2 linked regions of the Coturnix japonica genome follow. The protein of the gene in region 2 interacts with the protein of the main gene of each other region in a pairwise test. Links are inferred from orthologs where the notes say so. Each region holds a gene or a part of one and is shown on either strand. Other genes may lie near its edges. The genes, in order: ISG20L2 and EML1.

Region 1 (3,905 bases), on a different chromosome or scaffold from region 2:
TGAGGTACAAGGCAGTGACTGACCTTGGGATACCCCAGCCCCAGGACGGGACACAACAAACCTCCATCCCCTACCTAAGCACAGATTGCAAAGGAGCAGAGCAAACCTCCCTGCTCTTGCATACTCCCCACAGCCTATTCACACTGCCTGTTTGTTCCCCATGTTCCTTGGGGACACTGGGGAATTTCTCGCCCCAAAAGAAGCTTTGAAGCAGCTTCCTGATGCAGCTGCTGAGATGAGGAGTGAGAAACAGGAGCAGCAGCAGACCTGGATATCTTTGTGCAGCAGTTCCTTGGCGAGGCGCTTTAGGGAGATGCTGACGTTCTCGGGGAATCCACCCTTTCGGTTCAACAAGGGGATTTTGGATGTGTCACGGGTGAGTGCTTTTGGGTGGGAGTACTTGAGAGCCTTGAAATCGTTGTGTATGGCATGGCCAACCACCACCTTTCCAGAGAGGATCTTCAGGATCTGGGGAGGAAAAGAGAGAACATTTGAACAGGCTCCAGTGTACCATGCTGCACAATGGAGGGTCCTGCCCCACAAGCAGAGCGATGCTCAAAACCAGGAGCATGGATCTATCAGTGAGAATCACAGCTTAGGGCTATGATGTACAACTGAATGGGAGCAGCAGAAGCATGGGAAGACATCCCATCTGCTGCAGGATGGGGACTGGGATGTGGACCAAGATGCCATATCCTCAGCAGTCCCCTACCCACCACAAGCAGCTCTAAGAGACCACCAGACAGCCCTCAAAGGCCACTACTGACAGCCCCCAAAGCCACAGACAGCCCTCAAAGCCCACCACAGTCAGCCCTCAGAGCCCACCAAAGACAGCCCTTAAAGCCCACCACAGTCAGCCCTCAAAGCCCACCAAAGACAGCCCTCAAAGACCACCACAGTCAGCCCTCAGAGCCCACCACAGGCAGCAATTAAAGGCCATCACAGGCAGCCCTAAGAGACCACCACAGACTGCCCTAAGAGACCACCACAAGCAGCTCTAAGAGACCATCAGACAACTCCCAAAGCCCACCACTGACAGCCCTCAGAGCCCACCACTGACAGTCCCCAAAGCCCACTACTGACAGCCCAGAAAGCCCACCACAGTCAGCCCTCAAAGGCCACCAAAGGCAGCCCTAAGAGACCACCACAAGCAGCCCTCAGAGCCCACCACAGGCAGCCCCCAAAGCCCACCACTGACAGCCCCCAAAGGCCACCACTGACAGCCCCCAAAGGCCACCAAAGGCAGCCCTAAGAGACCACCAAAGGCAGCCCTCAGAGCCCACCACTGACAGCCCTCAAAGGCCACCACTGACAGCTCCCAAAGCCCACCACTGACAGCCCTCAAAGCCACAGTCAGCCCTCAAAGCCCACCACAGTCAGCCCTCAAAGCCCACCACAGGCAGCTCCCAAAGCCCACCACTGACAGCCCTCAAAGCCCACCACTGACAGCCTTCAGAGCCCACCACAGACAACCCTCAAAGCCACAGACAACCCTCAAAGGCCACCAATGACAGCCCTTAAAGGCCACCACTGACAGCCCTAAGAGACCACCACAAGCAGCCCTCAAAGCCCACCACAGTCAGCCCTCAAAGCCCACCACAGACAGCCCTCAAAGGCCATCACAGGCAGCCCTAAGAGACCACCACAAGCAGCTCTAAGAGACCACCAGACAACCCCCAAAGCCCACCACTGACAGCCCTCAGAGCCCACCACTGACAGTCCCCAAAGCCCACTACTGACAGCCCAGAAAGCCCACCACTGACAGCCCTCAAAGGCCACCACTGACAGCCCTCAAAGCCCACCACTGACAGCCCTCAAAGCCCACCACAGTCAGCCCTAAGAGACCACCACAAGCAGCCCTCAAAGGCCACCACTGACAGCCTTCAGAGCCCACCACAGACAGCCCTCAAAGCCCACTACAGACAGCCCTCAAAGGCCATCACAGTCAGCCCCCAAAGCCCACCATGACCACAGCCCCCCTTCCCCCCCCATATCACCCCACCTCCCTCTGTGCCTTGCAGAAGGGCACAGCGTTCTCCATGTGTTTCTTTCGGATGCCGCTCCAACGCGTCCTATAATCCACGATGGGAGCCGAGGGTTTCACGTAACGATCATACAACACATCCCCCTCATAACCCACAATACTACAACGTGCCAAGTCACTGTTTCTCCCACCGGGTCCCGTGCCCACCATTTCACAATCGATAGCCACCAACTTGCTGGGTGCTGGTGGGGACCCGGAGGATCCTATTAAACCCTTATGGGTTTTATTAACTCCTTGTGGCCCTTTGGTGCTCGTTCCTTGCTGGGTGCTGCAGGTTGAAGCCTCGTTGTTCCCAATGGACCCATTGGGGCCTTGCTTTCCGTTCTCCTCCCGTTCCCCTCCGCCCTTTGTCCGTTTCCTCTTCCTTCGGCCTCTACCACCGCATTTCTTTAGGCCTCCCCCTTTAGTTTGAACGGCAGATGGGAGCTGTTGACGTTTCCGTTCTAATTGGCGTCTCTTAATAAATCTCTTGTGTTTACGGTTCCCGGATGGGACCTTACGGGAACGATCGACGACCCCAAAGGTGACGTTAAGGATCAGGTCCGACATGTTGAAACCGGGAGCTCCCAGCAGGCCTCCCCTCCCCCCCACCCCCCCACCACACCGCCACTAACGGAAGCGGAAACTGCCGGCAACGGAAGCGGAAACTGCCGGCAACGGAAACGCCTCGTGGGCCTGCGGAAGCGGGAGGTGAGTGGCGCTTGGGGCCGCTCTGGCCTGCGGGAGGGGGCGTCTCTATGACCCAGGAGGTCTTGGGTTGGTGGGGGGGTGGCGACCGTGTTATATCGCGATTCTGTGAGCTGTGACATGGCTCTGAATGGACCTTGTGGCTCTATCAGGTCATGGACAAGCAGAGATTGGCATCCCCAGGGTGACGTCACGACTTCAGAGTGATGTCATGAGCTCAGAGTGACGTCATGAGCTCTGAATGACGTCACGCCTTCAGAGTGACGTCACAACCATGGCAGGTGCCCCCCATCTCTATTGGGAGCAGCAGCGAGCAGCCAACATCGTCCGCCTCCTATCCCTGTACCGTCCCCTCCTCGACTCCTACATCATTGTGAGTGTCCTCAGTGCATCCTCCATGTCTCCGTCGTATCCCCATGTTCAGCATCTTTCATTCCCCCCTACAGGATTTCTTCACTGAGGGGCTGTGGGCAAAGCTTCCATCTGCATGGCAGGCAGCCTTAGAAGCAGCAGAGCCCCCCCAGCTTGCAGCCATGCTGCTGGGGAATGGGGGTATGGTGGGGCAGGGCACAGTGTGGCCGCTCTCCTTGTTGGCTTTCAGCGCTGCTGTTCATGCCCTTTCCTTCCCAAGGGGGCAGGTGGGATGTGCCCCACGTCCACCGTGTCAAAGCCCCCGTTTACATCCACTTTTGCGTCGCCATGTGAAGCCTAAGAAACAGCATGAGATCTGGCGACTGGGAAAGGTGGGTGCTTCAGTTCTAACCCTCCTGGTGTCACCTCGTAGCTTGCATGTCAACCCACGTTCCCCTCTTATAGGTACTGCAGCAGCTGAGCAAAGCGACTGGCTGTGACCGTGTGGTGGATGTAGGTGCAGGGCAGGTAGGAAGGGGCTGCTGTGAGGTGACCCTTAGGGATGTCCCCTATACAAGCATGTCCCTTTATCCTCCTATATCCTTTCAGGGTCACTTCTCACGTTTCCTGGCCTTCAGTCTTGGTTTATCCGTCACTGCTGTGGAAGGTGATGGCCGCCTGGTCAGCCTTGCAGAGCGCTTTGATCAGGAGCTGCTGCGGGAGCTGGAGAAAGCCCAGGCACGAGGTTACAGTAGGAGGCCACCACTGTCCCAACACCACCCAAACACAGCCTCAAACCCTACAGATCCTGCATCCCTTTGTC
Region 2 (3,905 bases):
AAATGAGTGTCACTCAGGTACACTGCATGCACCTGAGCTCCCCTGGGTTGGCCCTGCCTTCCCACCAGGTGCTCAATCACTGCTTCAGGCTGTGACTTAGCATTTCCACTACAACCTGTAAAACTAGAATCGATCCTTTTTTCCTCTCTTCAGAAGGGAAAACCTTTCAACCTACAAAGATGGACAAATCAAGTGCTTACCATCCACGTTGTTTTAATTTGCTTTGCCCTACACCAAAATCATATTTTTCTTCAAATGCCTATTACCTGCTCTCTCTGTTTGATTCTTCTTTATTCCTGCCCTACTCCAGCCCCACATCATCTCTCACAGTACTCTTTATACTTGAAAGAGCTTTCCGCTTCCTTCCAAAGCAGTTTTCTTCTCCTCTTTCAACCCTAAAACCTTCACTGGTTATTCCCCATCTGCATTTTTTTCCCTTATGGGTCATGTGTCTGTATGAAATATCTGATCATCTCAAGGCACTATTCAAAGACCCCATTTTCCTTTTCTGCTTCATGTCGTATAATGAAGTCTCACTGAATGTTAACTCATTAAAGGAAAGGCTTTGAATCAAACCACTTTCTTTTATAAACACAGAATAATTCAAGTTAACAACAGTTTCCTGAGCCTCTACATCGACAATTACATGGCAGACAGGCAAATAATCCCTACAGTAACTCATTCTCGATGATAAAACTTAAGGATTAACTAAGATTTTCAAACCTATATGCAACATAAATATATACGGTGTATTTTCACCGCACGTACTACGTGCTCAGAGTTAAGAAATCAAAAGAAGTGTGAGTTCTCAGAAATCAGATACTCCGCATATTCAAGCTGCTCAGAAAGTGCTGTTCCTCCCACTGTTCCCACATGTACGCTACTGCCATGAACACAGCAAAAGCAGAGCCCGAGGATTTTGGTAGGAAGCCAGCTTGCTTACAAATGGATTAGGGTATGAAGTTTGAAATGAATCAATGTGATGCATATTTTCTTGCTAAAAATTACTCGCAATAAAATATTTACTAAGTTTAGGCAAAACAGGCATCTGTTATTAGCACACAACCCCCGTACACACTCATGGTTTTCCCTCTGGAAGAGCTCAGAGAACACAGCAGCCCCACACAATGCATAGCTCAATTCTTCACATTCTGAGAAACTACTCCCACAGCATCAAGGTCCACATGTATCACTGCCTTCTGTAACCCTACCCCTGTTGTGCAGCACACCGCAAGAAGAATCCTGTGGGATGTGGAAAATATGAAGATAGGAGAAGAGGCAGGCAAGCTGCTTGATGCAGTTGTTGTCATAAAAGCGATTTAATACTAACCTGGCTCCAGCTCCGCAGATAGCAGACAGCCAGAGAGCTGCTAAGACCTGGAGGAACTAGAGATTCACACGTCAGTTTTCAGTGAAATCTGAGATTAGGAAAGCTCCTTATTTTGCTGCTGAAAAGCAGGAACCAGTCTCCAAATATTTGATTTTCATTCTGAAGTTTTCCAGGAACAACTCTCAGCAGCACTATATTTTCACCCAATAACAGCAAGCACCAGCCAGCTACACAATCCCCACTGCTATGCAGGCCAGCATCACAAATATTTCCTCTGATAATACCGACAAATTCCTTGCTTCCTCCTGTCTTTCCCACAAGCTGTCACCGTGGGCCAAACAGCTCGCCTTCCAGGCCACCACACACATCACACCAGGTAGCCTCCAAGTGAAATAAACCTTAAAAGCCTATTAAAAATAAAACGAAGGAGAAGCAGGTGACAGCAGAGCAGCTCAGGAGGCTGCCAGCCCCAGCTCACTGATCCCAGGGCCACCTGGCCAGGCTGGCAGGACGCTCCGTGCCACACTCGTGGCTCCGGGCTGTGACACAGCACGGTCACACACACACACACACACGGAGCCCCATCCTTTGGATGGCCGCACTCCGCAGTGCCGCACGGCGATGGGTGACGACTCGTGCCGGCGGCTCAGCACTGCTCCAAGCCGGATACACGCACACACACACACACACGTACACGAATTCCTACGGGCCAGGTGCAGAAGTTCCCCGCGGCTCCGGAGCCGCGTAACGGGAAGGCTGAAGGCGAAGTTTCCTCCCTCCCTCCCTCTCTCCCCGCATCGCGGCCGTGGCCGTGCGGACAGGCCCTGCCTGCAGGCCCCTCTCCCCGCCGCCGGCCTCCGCCCCCGCCCCGCCGGGACGCCGGCACCTCGCCGCTCCCCGCGGCCGCCTCGCCCTCACCGTTGCAGAACTGGAGCAGCGAGGAGGTGTCGTAAAGGCTGCTGTAGCTGGAGAAGCCGTCCTCCATCCTGCCGCCGCGTTACCGACCTCCCTTCGCCCGTCCCGGCGGCCGCCTCGTCCGCGCACTGAGGAGCGGAGGCGGCCTGCTGCCTGCTGCCTGCCTCACTCAGTTGCCATGGCGACCCATTCACTCCGCCGCTGATGGGGCGGTGGCCGCGCCGGGGCTGCGAGAGGGGGCGGCCTCGGGGCGGGGCGGGGCGGGGCGGGGCGCTCCCCGCTGCTGAGCGGACCGAGCCGGAGCCGCCCGGGATCTCCCCTCCGCCGTCAGAGGGCGGCCGGCCCGCGGGATCTCGCGGGAAAGAGCCCGGTGAAGGAGAAAGCCGAGCGGAGAGCGGCGTCTTGCGGCCGCTTCTCATCGGCAGCCGCCCGCAGCCCGGGCCCCTCGGGGTGTGTGCCCTGCTGAGCAGCGCCCAGAAGGGAACGGGGATAGGAGGAGAAACGCGTCCGCCGTTGGGAGGTCCTTGGAAAGGTGCCCCGGAGCGATGCGGAGGCTGAAGTTTGGGATGCGGGGAGTTGCAAGTCAGAGTGTGTATGGCAGGAGTTCTGCCGCAGGTCTGGGGCAGCCTGGCTGTTCGGTGCTGCCTCAGCATCCCCCTTCTGACAGCTTAAAAGCTCCCCTTGCTTTCCCTGGAGCAACCCTGCGGTGTCTTCATTTCAGAGGCAGCTCCTCTGGCCATAGGATAGAGCTGTCACCATAGTACTGTGACTGATGTTCTCTTACACTAACAAGGTGAAGATAAGTGCTGGATCTCAGAGTCCACCCAGTTCCAACCCAATACCATGGGCTGGCTGCCCCCCACCAGCTCAGGCTGCCCATGGCTGCATCCAGCCCAGCCTTGGGCACCTCCAGGGATGGGGCACCCACAGCTCTCTGGGCAGCTGTGCCTCACTGCCCTCTGAGTAAAGAATTTCTTACATCTAACCTAAATTTCCCCTGTCTTAGTTTAAAGCAATTCCCCCTCGTCCTATTACTATTAGGCAGTGTAAAAGTTGCCTTCAGTTTCTGCGCTGGAAATGCTGACGCGTTCAGTGATCAAAAGCCATTTTTATTTCAAGCTCTTCTGCAGACAAGACAAAAATAACATGTTGCATTTCTGCAGCACCTCTTTTCCTCTTGAAAAACGCCAGAACGCTTAAAGTGTGACTTTGTGTCTCAGTCCTTTAAGGAGCTTTTTTTGCATGACAGTTCCATCATATGGATCCAGTTACAGGCCTGAGTTCTGTATATGCGAGTCTTTGCACCAATCACTGAGCCATAGCAGCGCTAACACAAAAATATGCTATAAAATTAGGCTGGGATATCAGTTCCACATTAAAGTAGGGTGAAAAGTGCTCCCTTCTGAATTGCCATTGCCAGTATTGGTAGAATTGAAGAGATCTCCAAACCAGCGTGACAGAAACCACTGTGTTTTATAGCTGCAGGATATAAGAGAAAGGAAATTTGTAGTTGTTTAGTTAAAAATAAAATATAATAAAAAATGAAAACGACTTCAAAAATACTGTGTTTAATATCAGCTGTGATTCTTTCTCACCTTTAAAATTAACAAAGATCCCCTAGGTTTTCTCACAGCCTTTTTTAGGCATAATCTATCAACCT

What was found.
Region 1: the proteins of EML1 (region 2) and ISG20L2 interact in binary tests that used the Homo sapiens proteins (3 or more experiments, as listed by UniProt). The two-hybrid records come from large-scale screens. The link is inferred for Coturnix japonica from reciprocal best matches to the Homo sapiens genes EML1 and ISG20L2.

Annotation. Positions count from the first base shown.
Region 1 is NC_029540.1:644,481-648,385, forward strand, and holds the start of ISG20L2 (interferon-stimulated 20 kDa exonuclease-like 2), read right to left. Parts: upstream 2,653-3,905; 5' UTR 2,594-2,652; coding exon 2,003-2,593; intron 469-2,002; coding exon 268-468; intron 1-267. Other genes in the region: protein RRNAD1, read left to right, coding at 2,973-3,104, 3,178-3,474, 3,548-3,610, 3,692-3,905. UniProt on the Homo sapiens protein: 3'-> 5'-exoribonuclease involved in ribosome biogenesis in the processing of the 12S pre-rRNA. Displays a strong specificity for a 3'-end containing a free hydroxyl group.
Region 2 is NC_029520.1:43,885,456-43,889,360, reverse strand, and holds the start of EML1 (echinoderm microtubule-associated protein-like 1), read right to left. Parts: upstream 2,479-3,905; 5' UTR 2,316-2,478; coding exon 2,249-2,315; intron 1-2,248. UniProt on the Homo sapiens protein: Modulates the assembly and organization of the microtubule cytoskeleton, and probably plays a role in regulating the orientation of the mitotic spindle and the orientation of the plane of cell division.